Linked DNA regions of Notamacropus eugenii. The protein of the gene in region 2 purifies or fractionates together with the protein of the main gene of each other region. This does not show direct contact. Links are inferred from orthologs where the notes say so. Each region holds a gene or a part of one and is shown on either strand. Other genes may lie near its edges.

What was found. The genes of interacting proteins can lie anywhere in the genome.
Region 1: the proteins of TULP3 (region 2) and TTC21B purify together in Homo sapiens (affinity purification with mass spectrometry; 5 studies listed by BioGRID and IntAct, counting the BioPlex papers as one, with this or other methods). This does not show direct contact. The link is inferred for Notamacropus eugenii from reciprocal best matches to the Homo sapiens genes TULP3 and TTC21B.

What each region holds. Positions count from the first base shown.
Region 1 is NC_092876.1:226,619,872-226,627,946, reverse strand, and holds the start of TTC21B (tetratricopeptide repeat protein 21B), read left to right. Parts: upstream 1-5,038; 5' UTR 5,039-5,224; coding exon 5,225-5,245; intron 5,246-8,075. UniProt on the Homo sapiens protein: Component of the IFT complex A (IFT-A), a complex required for retrograde ciliary transport and entry into cilia of G protein-coupled receptors (GPCRs). Essential for retrograde trafficking of IFT-1, IFT-B and GPCRs.
Region 2 is NC_092874.1:202,994,361-203,001,622, forward strand, and holds the start of TULP3 (tubby-related protein 3), read right to left. Parts: upstream 3,099-7,262; 5' UTR 3,084-3,098; coding exon 2,893-3,083; intron 1-2,892. Other genes in the region: RHNO1 (RAD9, HUS1, RAD1-interacting nuclear orphan protein 1), read right to left, coding at 4,587-5,156, 6,917-7,084. UniProt on the Homo sapiens protein: Negative regulator of the Shh signaling transduction pathway: recruited to primary cilia via association with the IFT complex A (IFT-A) and is required for recruitment of G protein-coupled receptor GPR161 to cilia, a promoter of PKA-dependent basal repression machinery in Shh signaling.

The DNA of each region.
Region 1 (8,075 bases), on a different chromosome or scaffold from region 2:
AGGGGGAGTCTGCAGCAGCATCAGGGGCAGGGGCATGGGCAGGGCAGCAGCAGCTGCAGCAGCTTCTTCTGGAGCTCTAGGCCCACAGATTGTGTGGGGATCGAATGGCTGACAGTACACCCCACCCCCACTGGAAGCAGAGAACTACCCTAACAAAGAGCTCAAAAGTCAAGTAAAGACCTGGGGAAATGAGCAAAAACTGGAAAACAAAATCAGACTATAAAATATTACTTTGGTGACAAGGAAGACCAAAGTATACAAACAGAAGACAACAAAGTCAAAGCTCCTCCATACCAAGCCTCCAAGAAAAATATGAATTGGTCTCAGGCCATGAAAGGGTTCAAAAAGGAGAAGTAGAGCAAAGATTGGGAAGAATGAGAGTGATGCAAGAAAATCATGGGAAATGAGTCAACTGTTTGTTAAAGGAGACCCAAAAAATGCTGAAGAAAATAATACTTCAAAAAATAGACTAACCCAAATGGCAAAAGAAATCCAAAAAACCAATAAGAAGAATGCTTTAAAAAGCAGAATTAGCCCTATGGAAAAGGAGGTCCAAAAGCTAACTGCAGAAAATAATTCCTTAAAGATTAGAATGAAACAGATGGAAACTAATGACTTTATGAAAATCAAGAAATTGTTTTTAAAAAGCCAAAATAATGAAAAAATAGTAGACAATGTGAAATATCTCACTGGAAAAACTGCTGACCTGGAAAATAGATGCAGGAGAGACAATTTAAAAATTATTGGACTACCTGAAAGCCATGATTTAAAAAAAAAAAAAAGCCTAGAGATCATCTTTCAAGAAATTATCAAAGAAAACTGCCCTGATACTGTAGAACCAAAGGGGAAAATAGATATTGAAAGAATCCACCAATCACCTCCTGGAAGAGATCCCAAAAAGAAAACTCCTAAGAATACTGTAGCCAAATTCCAGAGCTGTCAGGTCAAGAAGAAAATATTACAAGCAGCCAGACAGAAGCATTTTGAATATTGTGGAAATACAATCAGGATAACACAAGATATAACAGCTTCTACACTACTGGAGGGCTTGGAATATCATATACCAGAGGTCAAAGGAACTAGGATTAAAACCAAGAATCACCTATCCAGAAAAACTGAGTATAAATACATTGGGGCAGGGGGAGAATGGTCATTCAACGAAATAGAGGACTTTAAGAACATTCTTGAGGAAATGAGCAGAGCTGAAAAGAAAATTTGACTTTCAAACACAAGAATCAAGAGAAGCATGAAAAGGTAAACAGGAAAGAGAAATCATAAGGGACTTACTGAAGTTGAATTATTTATATTCCTACATGGAAAGATCATATTTGTAACTCTTCAGACTTTTCTCAGTATTAGGGTAGTTGGTGGGATTATACACATATAGACAGAAGGCACGGGGGGAGCTGAATAGGTAGGGATGATATCTAAAAAAATAAAATTAAGAGGTGAGAGAGAAATATATTGGGAGGAGAAAGGGAAAAACAGAATAGGGCAAATTATATCACATAAAAGAGGCAAGAAAAAGCTTTTTCAATGGAGGGGAAGAGGAGGGAGATGAGAGGGTAAATGACCCTTACTCTCATCACATTTGGCTTAAGGAAGGAATAACTATGCACACTAAATTTGGTATGAAAATCTATGTTACACTACAGGAAAATAGGGGAAAAGGGGATAAATGGGGAGGTGGGAGGAATGATAGAAGGGAAGTCAAATGGGAGAAGGGGGTAATTAGAAGTAAACACTTTTGAGGAGAGATAGGGTCAAGAGAGAGAATAGAATAAATGGGGGCAGGATAAGATGGAGGGAAATATAGCTAGTCTTTCACAATATGACTATTATGGAAGTGTTTTGCATAATTACACATGTATAACCTATATTGAATTGCTTGCCTTCTCAGTATGGATGGGTGGGGAGGGAGGAAGGGAAAATAGTTGGAACTCAAAGTTTTAAAAACAGATGTTAAAAATTGTTTTTACATACAACTGGGAAATAAGATATACAGGCAATGGTGTATAGAAAACTATCTTGCCCTACAAGAAAATAGAGAGGATGGGGATAAGAGAAGGAAGGGGTGTGATAGAAGGGAGGGCAGATTGGAGGAAGTGGTAATCAGAATGCACACTGTCTTGGGGTGGGTGGAGGGGAGAGACGGGGAGAAAATCTGGAACTCAAAATCTTATGGAAGTATTTGTTGAAAACTAAAAGTAAATAATTTTTTTAAAAAAGTATAGGCTTGAGTTTATGAGAATTAGCACCAGAATGGTGACTATGTGAACAGAGAGATTTTACATACATATACACATATATACCTATACATATATATGTATACACATCTGTATCTTCATATTTACATGCATGCTTATATTATGTAAGCTTAGGTACATGTAAATATATTTGCATATAAACACATACATGTCTGAACATAGAGGTCTATATACATGTGTATATGTATGTGCATGTGTACATATGTGTATATAATTATTTGAATATAGCAGGAATTATGAACTCTTTCTTCTGAAAGTAAGGATGGTCTACCCTGTAGAAGGGGCTTTGGTGGTGGGAGCAGAAAGAAACTACAAAACATAGTTAGAAAGGGGTCTAGATACCTTTAGCCTCAACAGTATTTCAATAGTTACCTTTAGGGATCGGAGATGTGAGTACTCCCTTTATCATCACTGTCTGCAAGCCATCCATGTCAGCTATCCAATAGAACTCTCACCCATGCTGACTCAGAAATCCTCCTTAGAAGCTAAACCAATGTGCTAGAAGGCTGACTCTAGGACTTTTGCATTCTGCAGCAACTAGTGCAAGATTGAGGCCTTCCAGACATTATCCTTCCCTCTTGCTACTTGACCAGACAATTCTCTTTCTTTTCTGATGATACACTTACTGGATAATCTCTCTTAGGTCACTCTTTGTGCAACAGCCACTGCTGGAAATATTCTAGTGCCTCTTTACGTCCACCACAGAGTGTCCTTTAGCTCATCAACAATTTTTTTTTCAGAGCTTATGCTAGCAAATATATACCATCATGAAGAGAATGTTGGTCTTTAAAAGGATGAATTTTTTTTTTAGGAAGCAATCTGGTATCTCTGAAAGCACATCATAATAATTATATATGTCTAAATGTGGCTCTCAGGGAGGAGAGAACAGCCAGCATGACAGTTTGGGGAAAAGGGAAAAGCAGTAGATAGATAGAGGAAAGGAGAACAAAGGGAAGACTGCAGCATAGCCATGCATGGGCATTCTTTCCTCCAGTCCCCAAGAAAGAGGATAGATACTAAACTTGAATTATATCTATAATTCCCCCAAATATTGCTGATTTAAGGATACATAGGTTCAGAACAAACCAGTCTTCCTTGCCGCTACCCCTTAAAAGAGGAAATGTAACCCTTAGTTTACATTCACTAATTCACTTACATTCCTTCCCACAAAATGCTAGCTATACAAAAAAAAAAAACTGCAAATAGTGAATAGCAAGTAAACCCATTCATTAAAATAAATAGAAAACAGAAATCATAGAAGTTACATAGATTAGACTATACAGAAAAAATACAGAGGCTCCAATTTTACCTAAGGGGAAATTTTCTGTAGTCTCTAGAGAGGCAAGTTGGAGATCAGAGAAATGTTGAGAACCAGCTTCCCCTATAAACATAAATCTTCTAAAGTCTTTCTCTCTCTCTCTCTCTCTCTCTCTCTCTCTCTCTCTTTCTCATATGTGTGTGTGTGTATATATATATATATATATATATATATATATTCCCCACAATCATTTCCTCCCATTTTCCATGAAATCTCTGCATCCATGTCCTCCCCGCCATCTGGATAGCAGTTGCCCCCAGTAGCTCTGATTCTCCTTCTGAGGAAGGATCCTTAGCATTGAGACATACCACTCCCTAAGGTATTGTTCTTTCTAAGCATAAAATCTCTACAAATTATACCCATTTAAGGCCCCCATTTACCATTACAGAATAGTTCTTCTCTCTTCATGGGAATACTTTACAGTGGGACTCCTTTTCACCACTTTTCACCACCACCCCTTTTCAGCCCTTCAAATACTTGTAGGTTAAACATCCCCATTTTCTTCAACCAGTCCTCCTACAATATGATCTATGGCCCCTCAACATTAACTATAAGACATTTTAAAATGTGCAAGTATACATTTAGAAACTGAAAGATTGTGATTAAGGTTGGAGTTAGACTAATAAAAAGAGTTTAACTCTTAGAGGAACCTGAGAGTTTGAAAGGGTACATGGTGGATGGGAAATTATTAAAGTTGGCTGAAGAAAATATTCTTCAAGATGCTTGCCTTAGTAATAATCAGAACATCTATCCATATACAAATGCGCAAGATCATCCAGAGTTGCACTTAGTGAAAGGCATACAAATGTAAAACGATCCACTCTCTATGGGTCTCTGTCCTACCTCACTCTCTATACCTCCAAACTAAGGTTAATTCCTGCTCGTCCTAGGCGGAGATTGTTATACCCTGGAGTTCGGCAGGGAAAGTGTTGATCCCCCTTTACAAATGAAGACACTGAGCCTCCAACAGCTAGGCATTAGGAGCCCTGGTCTTCCAACCATAGAGCTCTGGTGAGCAAACGTGAACACAAAGGCACACGGAGGACAACGTCCGAGACAAGGCGGTCCTCACCCTCCGGTGACCGTCCAGCGGGGGAGACCGAGGCAAGCACGGGGAGCTGTGTCCGGGAGACACAGGAAATAAGGCAGAGGGGGAGCGCTGGGACCAGGGGAAGGCTGCTCGTCATGTTATCTATCATCATTATTATAATTATCATTATTACTGCTATTATTTAGGCAGCTCTTAATAAACATCTCTTCTTTACCTTTCTCCCTCAAATCCCCGCCTCCTCGCCCTCCTTGGGATCCGGAGCCAATGGTTGGGGCTCCAGCTCGGGAGGCGTGTCCTGGTCTGTGGGCCGCGCTCAGGCTCCTCCCCGCGCGCTCGGGCTCCTCCCCGCGCGTGCCCCTTCTCTCCTCCTTCTCTCCTCCCGAGCCCCGCCCTCCCCGCGCGCGTCCTCGCTCCAGACCCAGAGCGAGGCTCCCGGAGGCGACTCCTCCTCACCCTCGGAGTCTGAGGGAGGCGGGAGGAGAGGAAGCTGGTGGGCGGGCCTTGGCCCAGCGGGGTGGGCGTGTCTTCGGCTGGGCCTCCTGAGGGAGCTCGCCCGTTTTTCCCGTTTTCTCCGTTGTCTCGAGAACCATGGACGCTCAGGGTCTGAAGGTGAGCGAGGGAGTCCCTGAGAAGGGGGCGGGGGCTGCGGTGAGGCCCGCCGCGGGGCGGGGGATGAGAATGAGGAAGGCCCAGGGGGCCGTGGAGGCTGTTGGGTTCCGGGCGTGGTGCCGGGCCCGTGGGGACCCCGCGGCTCCCCCCTCCCCTCCTCTCTACCCCCAACGCTGGGGTCACCGTAGCTGAGTCTGACGGTTGGACCGTCCCGGTCCCTTCTTCTGACCCCGAGGCCGCACGATGCCCTGGTCTCTCAGAGTGAAGTGGTTCAGATCCGTTCAGTCCACAGTTATTATGCGCCTACTGCGTGCGGGTAGAGCCTGGGATGTCGAAGACGACCCGGGGTCGGGTCCTGGCTCTGGTTCTGAATGGGCGTGGGCCGGGCTGACTCTTCGATGTCCTGGCTTCTGGAAGGGCTGAGCTCCGAGTGCCGATGTGGCCCCTGTGACGGTGCACGCAGCCCTCGGTCCTTTGGCTGCCTCTGTTTCCCCATCTGTACAATGAGGACAGTTCTAGGGTTGTTGTGAGGATCGAATTGGGATAATTTTTTAAGTGCTTTGCGAATTTTAAAGCACTGTATAAGCGATCACTAGCTGTTGTTATCAGAACCATGGAGGGAGCTTCCACACCAGGATGAATTCCCTCCCAGCCCCTGTCGGCACTCTGACTTCTCACTCCTAAAATGTGTGTTTGCTGTTGAAATGTAACAGAATGAATGTTCCTTTAACATCGGTGGATTTCCTGTACAGCCTGTTGGGGATTGTCTAATTGAGAGGAGGGAGCTAATTCCTCTTCTCCTAATAAAAAATAAAGAATGTGTTTGAGTAGAAGGGGAGAAAACGGGTTGAATTCTGAGACCATGCTTAAACACCAGAGGCTGGTTTAATGGGCCCTTTCCTTCCCACACCTCCCATTTTCTTCTCCCAATTTAGGGCTGCGCAGGTCTTTCCTCAAGCTTCCCTGAGAAATGAGGGTCATGAGGAGGGGACTGAGATTAGGTGTAATACAATGGGATGTGTTATGTTTGGCAGCTGGAAAATCAAGCAGTGTAGATGCAGTCTAAGGATTGTAGCCGGTATTGTTCCCGCCCCCTAGGTTAGAGATAACAGGAATGAGAAGGATGAATGTTCTGATAAATTCCTTATGTGCAAATCTAGTCACATCCCTCCTCTGCTCAGAAACTTCCCATGGTTCCTCACTGCTGCCAAGTAAAGTTCAGGTTCCTCTGCCTGGCATTCAAGGCCCCTTTACAACCTTAGGCCAACATACCTTTTCAGCCTTTTTGGACATGTATTATGTTGTATTAATAATACATGTATATGTACTATGTATTATGAACATGTATTCTTAAGTCAGCTTGTCAGGTTCTTCCTTGTGCTTAGAAGGCATCTGACATTAATTTTGCTTGGCACCATCTCACATATACTTTAAATGCCACTTTGAAGCCTTCCTTGATCTCTAAATTCTTATCAGCTTCCCTTTACAGAGCTTTACTTTGTAATTTAATACATGATATTACAGGATGTTTGGTTGATTCTAATGCCGTTACTAAACAGTAATCTTCTTTAGTGGATTATGAAATTTGGGGGAGAGAGTACAGTGTTTCTGAGAACCAAGCTCAGTATCTGTATTAAGAGTTTCTTCTTGTTATTTTAGATAATTTCATCTGTGCTTTAGATTTATTAGTATAGCCATGTCTTGTTTATCCATTTATCAGTAGGTGAGAATTCTCAAATAAATCCTTGATCTTTTATCCTTGTGGATATATTCCCTCCAGTGATACGGATCGTAACTCCTCCATGCCGTTCTGTCAGATGTCCTTCTATGTGTAACACATGCTGAAGCATTTCCTCAGTTTCCCTTGCTATAGAGGAGATAACCATTGGACCTCACTGGTCATTCAGCAGGTTTTTTTTTTCCTTCCCTTCCCTGGATCTAGCCTATATTTTTGTTTTTATCAGATATTTCTCTGATGATACTCTTTCTTCTGGGTTTTATTCATAATTCATTAGTGTAATGTATTTCATCCTCACAGCCACCTTGTGCTTCTCCATTGCAGTCAAAGTGATTCACAATCTTAATTCTTCCAAGTCTGTAGTGTTCCATGATTCAGCCACATGTTGACACTGGTAAAATATTAGCAGTAAACACATAGACCTTTATCTTATGGAGAAGTTTGAGGTCATTAATGGAATGCTATAATTTTCCATAGGCAATCCAGTGGATTCTCTTCCTCATGTTCAATTCTGTACCCAACTTACCCATTTGCTGTATCTTTCCAAGGTACAGATATACTTAAGGACACTCTTTAGGTTGTCCTTCTAACTGTATATACAGTAAACATTGTTTATCCACCTTGTTTTTCCTGTACAGATGATTAGACAACACTTTTTTTTAGAGATTATTGGTCTCATCCAGGAAGCTCTTCATTGTTACGAGGCTTGATGCAACTAGTATGATATTATTCACAAATTGGATCATCTACATATCTATAAAAGCCTTTGATAGCTTCCTTAAGATTTTGTTTTGTTTTTGAGTACTGACATTTTCTTTTTCTTACATCACCCTGGCTATTCCAAGTACTCCTTCTCCCCCGCCCAAAGAGCCATGTTGTCCTTGTTGTCATCATTGCTGTCATTTTAGACTTATCTGACTCTCTGTGACCCCATTTTGGGTTTTCTTTCCAAAGATACTGGAGTGGTTTTCGATTTCCATCTCCAGCTCATTTTACAGATGACAAACTGAAGCACACAGGGGTTAAATGACTTACCTAGGGTCACACAGCTATTAAATGTCTGAGGTCAAATCTGAACTCAGGTCCAGTGCT
Region 2 (7,262 bases):
ATTAAGTATTTTTAAAACATGGTGTATGTATATTTTGCAACAATAATTAATAAATCTGATGAAACTCTGAGGGACTAAGGGAAAGAGAAAGAAAATGAAAAAGTTTGCTTTGGATGAAATAAGAGCAGAAACTGAAGTTTTATTTTTAACATCTAAAGAGAAATCATAGCTGATGGAAGAATTTTCAGGTCTGAAAATGAGCCACAACTAAAACTGATTTCTAGATATTCTCTTTCATCAGAAGAACATGGTTCTGCCAAGCCCTATCATAAGAAAGAAGTTTAATAGTCAATTCCCAAATGGCTCCTGTGATTTAATCCCCATCAAAATCACAAATTTGGCTTCTAATTTAAGATTTAGGGAAGGTTTACTTTGCTTTGAAGACTTTTCTATTTATTAAAAGAACATGTCCACTTCAAGGCAAAATAGATACAAATACAAATTTTAAGTTACAGATTACCCATACTTTTAATATACATTTGTAATTTTTTGAACCTAGCCTACCTCCAGTTTATTACCCCTACAATGAAAAGCATTTCTTTGTCCACATCTTTGATAAAAAATAAAAAATCTGAAACCTAAAAATCAAAGTGAATTCACACTCTCTAAGTCACAGATGAACTCAACAGTAACAGAAGCTATACTGCTATTACTTGGTAGAAACAAAAACTTACCTGATTGAAAAATTACCTTTTGATGTCAGTTTTCATTTTTAAAGGTAAGATTTATTTTTTTTTAAGAAAACTTAAGCTCCAGTGGAGATTCCCCACATTGTTCACAAAAGCTTTCTTTTCTCTTGATGTTCTCTCTTGCCTGCCCTTTCACCCTTCTAAAAATTAATTTTTTAGATTTCAGATTCAAGGAATTTTTTTTTTTTTTGCTTCCTGATTACTGGTTCGGAAAAGCCTATTTTTAAAAGCCATTAGTCATATAAAACATTAACTAATACCCACGTAACAAAATTTTGGATTCATTCCTTCATTTATTCAATCCTCCACCAAAGTCCTGCTTAGGGGTGGGGGGTGATGACCTTGGTTCCAGCACAGCAGGTTCTTCCAAGTGAGACTTTAATCCATCCAGCAGGCTGATGTCTGTCTAGCTAAGTCATGAAAAGTTCATCACCAGAACACAAGATGAGAACACATTTTTTTTTCTAGTTATACCAAGTCCATTCTACTCACAGAATTACACTAGGATAAATTATTAAAGAAAGTAGTGAAAGGAGTTGTCATCTACATCAACAGAGGGAACACTCACAACAATGACATTAGATATGCCTGAAGTTTTAGTCATTCAATAAATATTTGAATACCTACTATATGTGTAGTATCTTGCATTCACTCAATAAATGCAATCAGAGAAATGGAATATGACCGTAGCAATTTCTCATCCTTTTCCAAACACACTGAAGTCTGAGAAGAAAAAAGTGTGGATACAGCTGCTTTGAACAGTAAAATAAATAAAATCAGTGAACAGGTTTCTGAGAGTACCAAATGAATGGAACTTGACTAAAAAAGGGGTTGTGTCTCTCCCTCTCTACTCTTTCCTAAGAGCATTATGTCTATTCAGAGCAACTCATCATTAACATAATAATTTACGTTAAGTAGTGAAAGGAGTTGTCATCTTCATCAGTGGAGTACTTAGACCAAATGAAATCAAAGATCCTTGAGTATTTAAATATTTATTGAATAAATATTTGAACACCTACTATACCTAGAACATACCTCGTACCTACCCCTCAATAAAGGGGCGCGGGAAAGGACCCATCTTCTTTTATTGAGTTCCATTCTTAGCCAAATGTACTCTCTGACATCTGTTCACTAATTTATTTACTTTACTGCCCAAAGTTGCTGAATCCACAGCTCCCTAGAAATCAGTGTGTTTGGAAAGGAAGGAGAAATTGTTGGGGAAGTATTCAACTTCTCTGACTGCACTGAATTAAAATTTATACTGACCAGATCTTTATCTGTAAGGAAACATTCATTTAGGTTTACAAATAAGCTTAATGTCCTTCCCTAAAGATTTCAACATTCTCAAGTTTCAGGCTGCCCTCTCAACACCTTATAAAAAAAAAAAAGCAACCTGGCATAGTGGAAAGCATCAGAATTGAAGACCAAGCATATACCACTTCATCTTAGAACACCTAGTCTGTACTAATCTGTAAAATAGGAGTAATTAATCCTTACTACCCACATCACAGCACTGTTATGGGAAAAGTTCTTTGCAAACTGACAGGCTATATATGAATGTGTGTGAAACAAAGGAAAACAGATTTCAGATGATTTTATTTCCCCAACTCTCCCTCTGATGGAGACGGAAAAGAGGGGCGGCTGGAAGAGAATGAACAGAAAAGCACTGCTTCTAGGTAACGCACAAACTGTATACAAAGATCTCGAAAAATCCAGAACTAAGAATACTTTGTATTTGCAAACTAATTTTGCACTTTCAGCCTCCTGGTAACGTCCCCAAAACATGGAAGTTAGGGTCAGTTACTAGCTCCTACCCAACAACACTTCTGCCTCGATGTCCTCAAAAATGAACACATTCGATTTGATTTTATTGATATTATTTGGATACAGCATCCCTTGAAAGCAGATCCTCATTTTATCCTCCAATAAGGAAAAAAAATGAGGCCTAGTGCCGGCAGAAGAAGAAGATGGGACCCCTCCTTTTTGGGGCGGAGAAGGGGCAAGAAGGAGCAGCTTCCGAGGTGGGGGCAGCGCGGCCGGCCCCCCGGCTCCCCACCTCCAGGCGCGCCCTTCCCTCCCTCCAGGCCCGCCGCGAGCCCAACCGGCCCTCGACCCCCAGGCCTGACCACTCAGCCCCGACCTCCACAGCCAAGCTCCGTTCTCCCCGATCCCAGGAGGAGACCGACCACTACCCAGCGCTGACCTATCCCCGCCGGGCCCGAGTCTGTGGCGCGCCGCCTCCATCCCGAGCCGCTCGGCAATCGGGAGCTGCATCCAGTCCCGACGGTTCCGACCCCGGCTCCAGACGCCGCCGCCGCCGCCCGCCCCCTGGCAACCGGACCCCGCACCACCGCCACCCCCCATTGGTCCGGAGCGCCGCCGCCGCCGCTTCATTGGCTGTCGCTCCCGTCCGGCGATGCGGGAGGGTTTCTAAGGAGAGGGGAAGGGGCGAGGGAGCGCAGAGCGCCTGCGTGGGAGCTGTTGGCCCTGGAGTTACGCGCCTGGGATGTGGGGAAAAGGACGGGAACTGGGGCAACACCTACCCCGGTGGCAGACCTCGTAGTCTTCCCTCCTTCCACGCGTCCCCAGTTCGCCCTCCAGCAGGCCACAGAGCAGCCTCTCTTCTCGTGGCCAAGCCGAGACGACGCAGCCCGCTGCGGCGGGATTAGGTGCGGCCCCTGTCCGGGGGAGCGGCCCACCAGCTCTGCTACTAGCCTCTGGGCTACCAAGAATCTGGGCCCACCGCTACGCCCATCTCCGAAACACCTACTCTGAAGAGGGCAAAGACCTATCCAGGTGGTCCAGTGGGTGGAGGTCTAGCCCGTCTAGGATCTAGAAGCTCAGAGTTCAAACGTGCCTTCAGACGCTTGTGACAGCTCTGAGACCCTGGGCAAGTCACCTAACCTGTTCACCTCAGTGTCTCCAACTGTAACACAGGAATAATAGCACACTTACCTCCAAGAGTTGTTTTGAGGTTCAAATGAGAGAATGTTTGTAAATTAAACCCATATCCCCTGTCTTCTCCTCTTTCAAAATGAGAGTAGTTGTCTGACAAAGGATATTCCTTGTGCAAAGCTTTCTTTGCACAAGAAGAAATAACACTTTCTTGAAATCTCGCTACCCTGGAAAACTGGAACACGATTAAGTCCTACTGCTTAGCACTTGGCACATATATTAGGCATTTCATAAATGCTTATTCCCTTCCCTTCCATCCGCCCTAAACCTGCTCTTCCTCTGGTCATTTATAGAATTTTCTTTGCTCAGTCTTAGACCTGCCCTAGACTACCTTGAGCTCTTCAGTCTATCAGAAGAACCCCAAACTTGCCCTCTCCTGACCAGCTAGGGGCTTTCCTTTCTTCAGGCACTTATGCCACCTAATGAGTGGAGGCATTTGGTTAAGTATGAAATACTGGCCTACTACAAACAAAAGAGGCAGCATTCACTAACAGTTTTCTGCATTTATTTGTAAACATTTTTAATATTTTCTAAAAGTTATCTTCCCACCCTTAAGTGCATATTTACAATTTGTTAGAAATATTGTATAACCATTTCCCTTCTATCTGCTATGAATTACCTTTAAACTGGATAAATATCAGGAGGAAAAATATAAAAAGAATGGTCTGTGTATACTATGCCAGTAACTAGCAATACCAAAAAACAGATTATGGAACTTCAGCTTTAGTTCACATAATCATTCTGGTGCTTTTGGTTCCCTATTAAATCAACAGGAAGGACCACAAAGGTTCTAAATGACACTTGAGTCTATTGATTTAATCTCTTCAAGGGCCAGAAATTGGATTTAGCAGCACTATAAAAACCATCCATGGGGCAATGTAAATTTCTGCCCTTCTGGATCCAAGTTATTGGTAAAAAGGAATCAGTATTTCAAGGTTCCACTCATGTCTTCACAAGAAACTGGCTCATGCTCAATTTCCCCTTCTCCCTGAGGTAAGTAAGAAGTTGATACCGTCTTCTCCAAGTTACCTTCAGCCCATATTTCTCCTCTGGTGTGTCTGCAACCAGTACAGGGCCAGGGTCTGGGCTCTTGGGAGGATCCATTAGGAGAGGGCAGCTCTTTCTCATATGCTGCCTCTGGTCTGTGGGAATATGCCCACTGTCCTTCACAGGGGACTGTTCTGGGGTCTGGATATCAGGTGGGATAACCATGTAACCTGAATTTTGAAGGTCATGAGAGGACAATTCCGCACAGCTTTGAGGACTCAATAGAGGAACCAAGGACTTTCTGGCAGTGTCTTTTGGACACTGTATAGGGAAGTCCATAACTGAGAGATTGTCCAAAGCAGCTTCACTGGAAGAAGACACTGAACTCTCAAAGGACAGAGGTGGAAACCTCTTCTTGGTTGCTTTTCGAGAAACTTTTGCCAGGTTCTGAAGATTGTAAGGCACCTGATGTTGTTTTTGGTAGACTGGCAACCAGTCTCCTGTTTTCTCAAATTGAGGAGACACCTAAGAAACAAACAGAAGCTGTCAGCCCAGAACCACAAACATTGCTGGAAATTACTTCATCTCCATTCAAGAAGCCACAGATATAATGCTCAAGTTTTCTAAAATGAGAGCCTATCCACATTAAAATGAGCTCATTTTCTACAGGCATGAGCACCAGACTTGGAATCAGGAGCTTTGGGTTTGAAACCTGCTATGAAGTTATAGGATTTTTATGAGAAAAACACTATATAAAACTTTGTGAGTTATTTTTATTAGGTATCTACCCTATTCCTGGAGTATGGATTATTGCTTTTCCAACAACTTCTAACAAGTCATTTTTTAAAGCACTCTTTAAGCAGAAGCTGAAGTCCAAAATTGGCCCCTGCTCTTAACTTCTACTTCTTTCTCACAACATAATCCAAAACTCTTTCAGCTGGAGTCTTCAGAATGTTAAAACTTTCCAGTGTGTGGTGTTACTTTATAGCAGGCTATTAGATAGTAAACAATGTATCTAAAGAAGAACATACAGTATCTGGGACCAAAGAAAAATACATTTCTCTTCTCTATATCATGCCGCTACTTTTATCATCAGACCCTGCATTTTTAAGAATGCTCAGAATCTTGTTTCTGTCCTTGTCACTCTCCTACTCAGTAAACTCTATCTAGCAAGTCCCTATGGCCCCTAAGATAAAATATTAACTTTACCTTTTAAAGCCATTCACAACCTGAACCCAAACTATCTTTCCAGCCTCAGTGAACACTCCCCCTCCCACAGTCCAGTCAAAACTGACCTTTCCTCTGTTCCTCACACAAGACAATCTCCTATCTCTATGCTTTTCCATGGCTGCCCCCATGCCTTGAATGTAATTCCTCTTCATATCTGTTCTCTTAGAATCTCTCTTCTTTTAAGACACAGCCCAAGCACCACCTTGTACATGTACAAATCCCCCTACTAATGCTAATGCCCTCCCTACTAAACTACTAGTCTTTAACTACTTTGTATTCTACATATCCATACATGTGAATGCATATGTATGTTTAGAAAGATATGAACACATATATGTATGTACATATTGTCTTATCTTTTGGAATATAAACAACTTCTCAAATAGGAATTGTTCAATTAATTGTATTTGTATCCCCTGTGCCTGTCACTTAATAAAAGCTATTAACAAATGCCTGCTGATTGACTGAATCAGTGGTTGGGAGAGAGAAAAGGAAAAAGGTGGGTTCAAGTGTTCCTGAAGGTATTATTGGCTAATTGGTGTAGGTAAGGTCTTGATTTATCAGGCCAGCCACTAAAGGTCAACAGTAACAAGGGAACACCAAAGCAAAAGCACATTATTACTGAATCTTCAGACTACTCTTTAGTCTTTTGGGGGGGGGGGGAGGGGGATGAATGAACGGTAGGGAGGGAAGGATGAGACCTTCCAGCAAGAAAATGAACACAATGTCCCAAAATTCCCCACTGTAGTCACTGCTCTTTAAAAAGAATAGCAGGGCAAAGTAAAGCCAGTCTAAATGTCAACAATTCTCCCTCTGATTGGCTATTTCCTGATCAGCCCCCAGTTATCTAGCTCTTCTCTCAGCAACTGCCCATTTTTACAACTTAGGGGAAGAGCAGTTGGTTGAGGAGTTATGGTTTAGGAATTAGGGCCTCTTGCTCCTGTGTACCACTAAGTGGGTGAGTGACCTTCCTCCTGATGTGGGTCAAAGACAGTACCCACAATATGAGTCACCTCGTACCCAAAGCACCCAGTGTAAGAACTCGCTGGTCCTACCCAAGAGGTGATGGTCTGGTGATCTACTGGTTTGACCCGAGCATGCCTTGGGAGGGCTGCGGCTGGCTGTGGGGATCCATAGGGATGCATGGGACCCTCCAGAGGCCCCTCTCGGAATGCCAGTTGTGGTTTCCGGGACTGACTTTTGGGTTTCTTCCTGGGAGGCATCAACAGTCGAGGAGGGAAGGACCGTGAGTAGCCTCATGTTGCCTGGGGAAATACGTCGGGGAGATGAGCAAGGATCCTCACCCATGCCTAGAGATCAGACAACAAAACAAGCAGACAGAGAAAACCGATCACTGCCCGGGGCAGCAAAGCCCACCACGCTGGGCCAGACTAATCATCG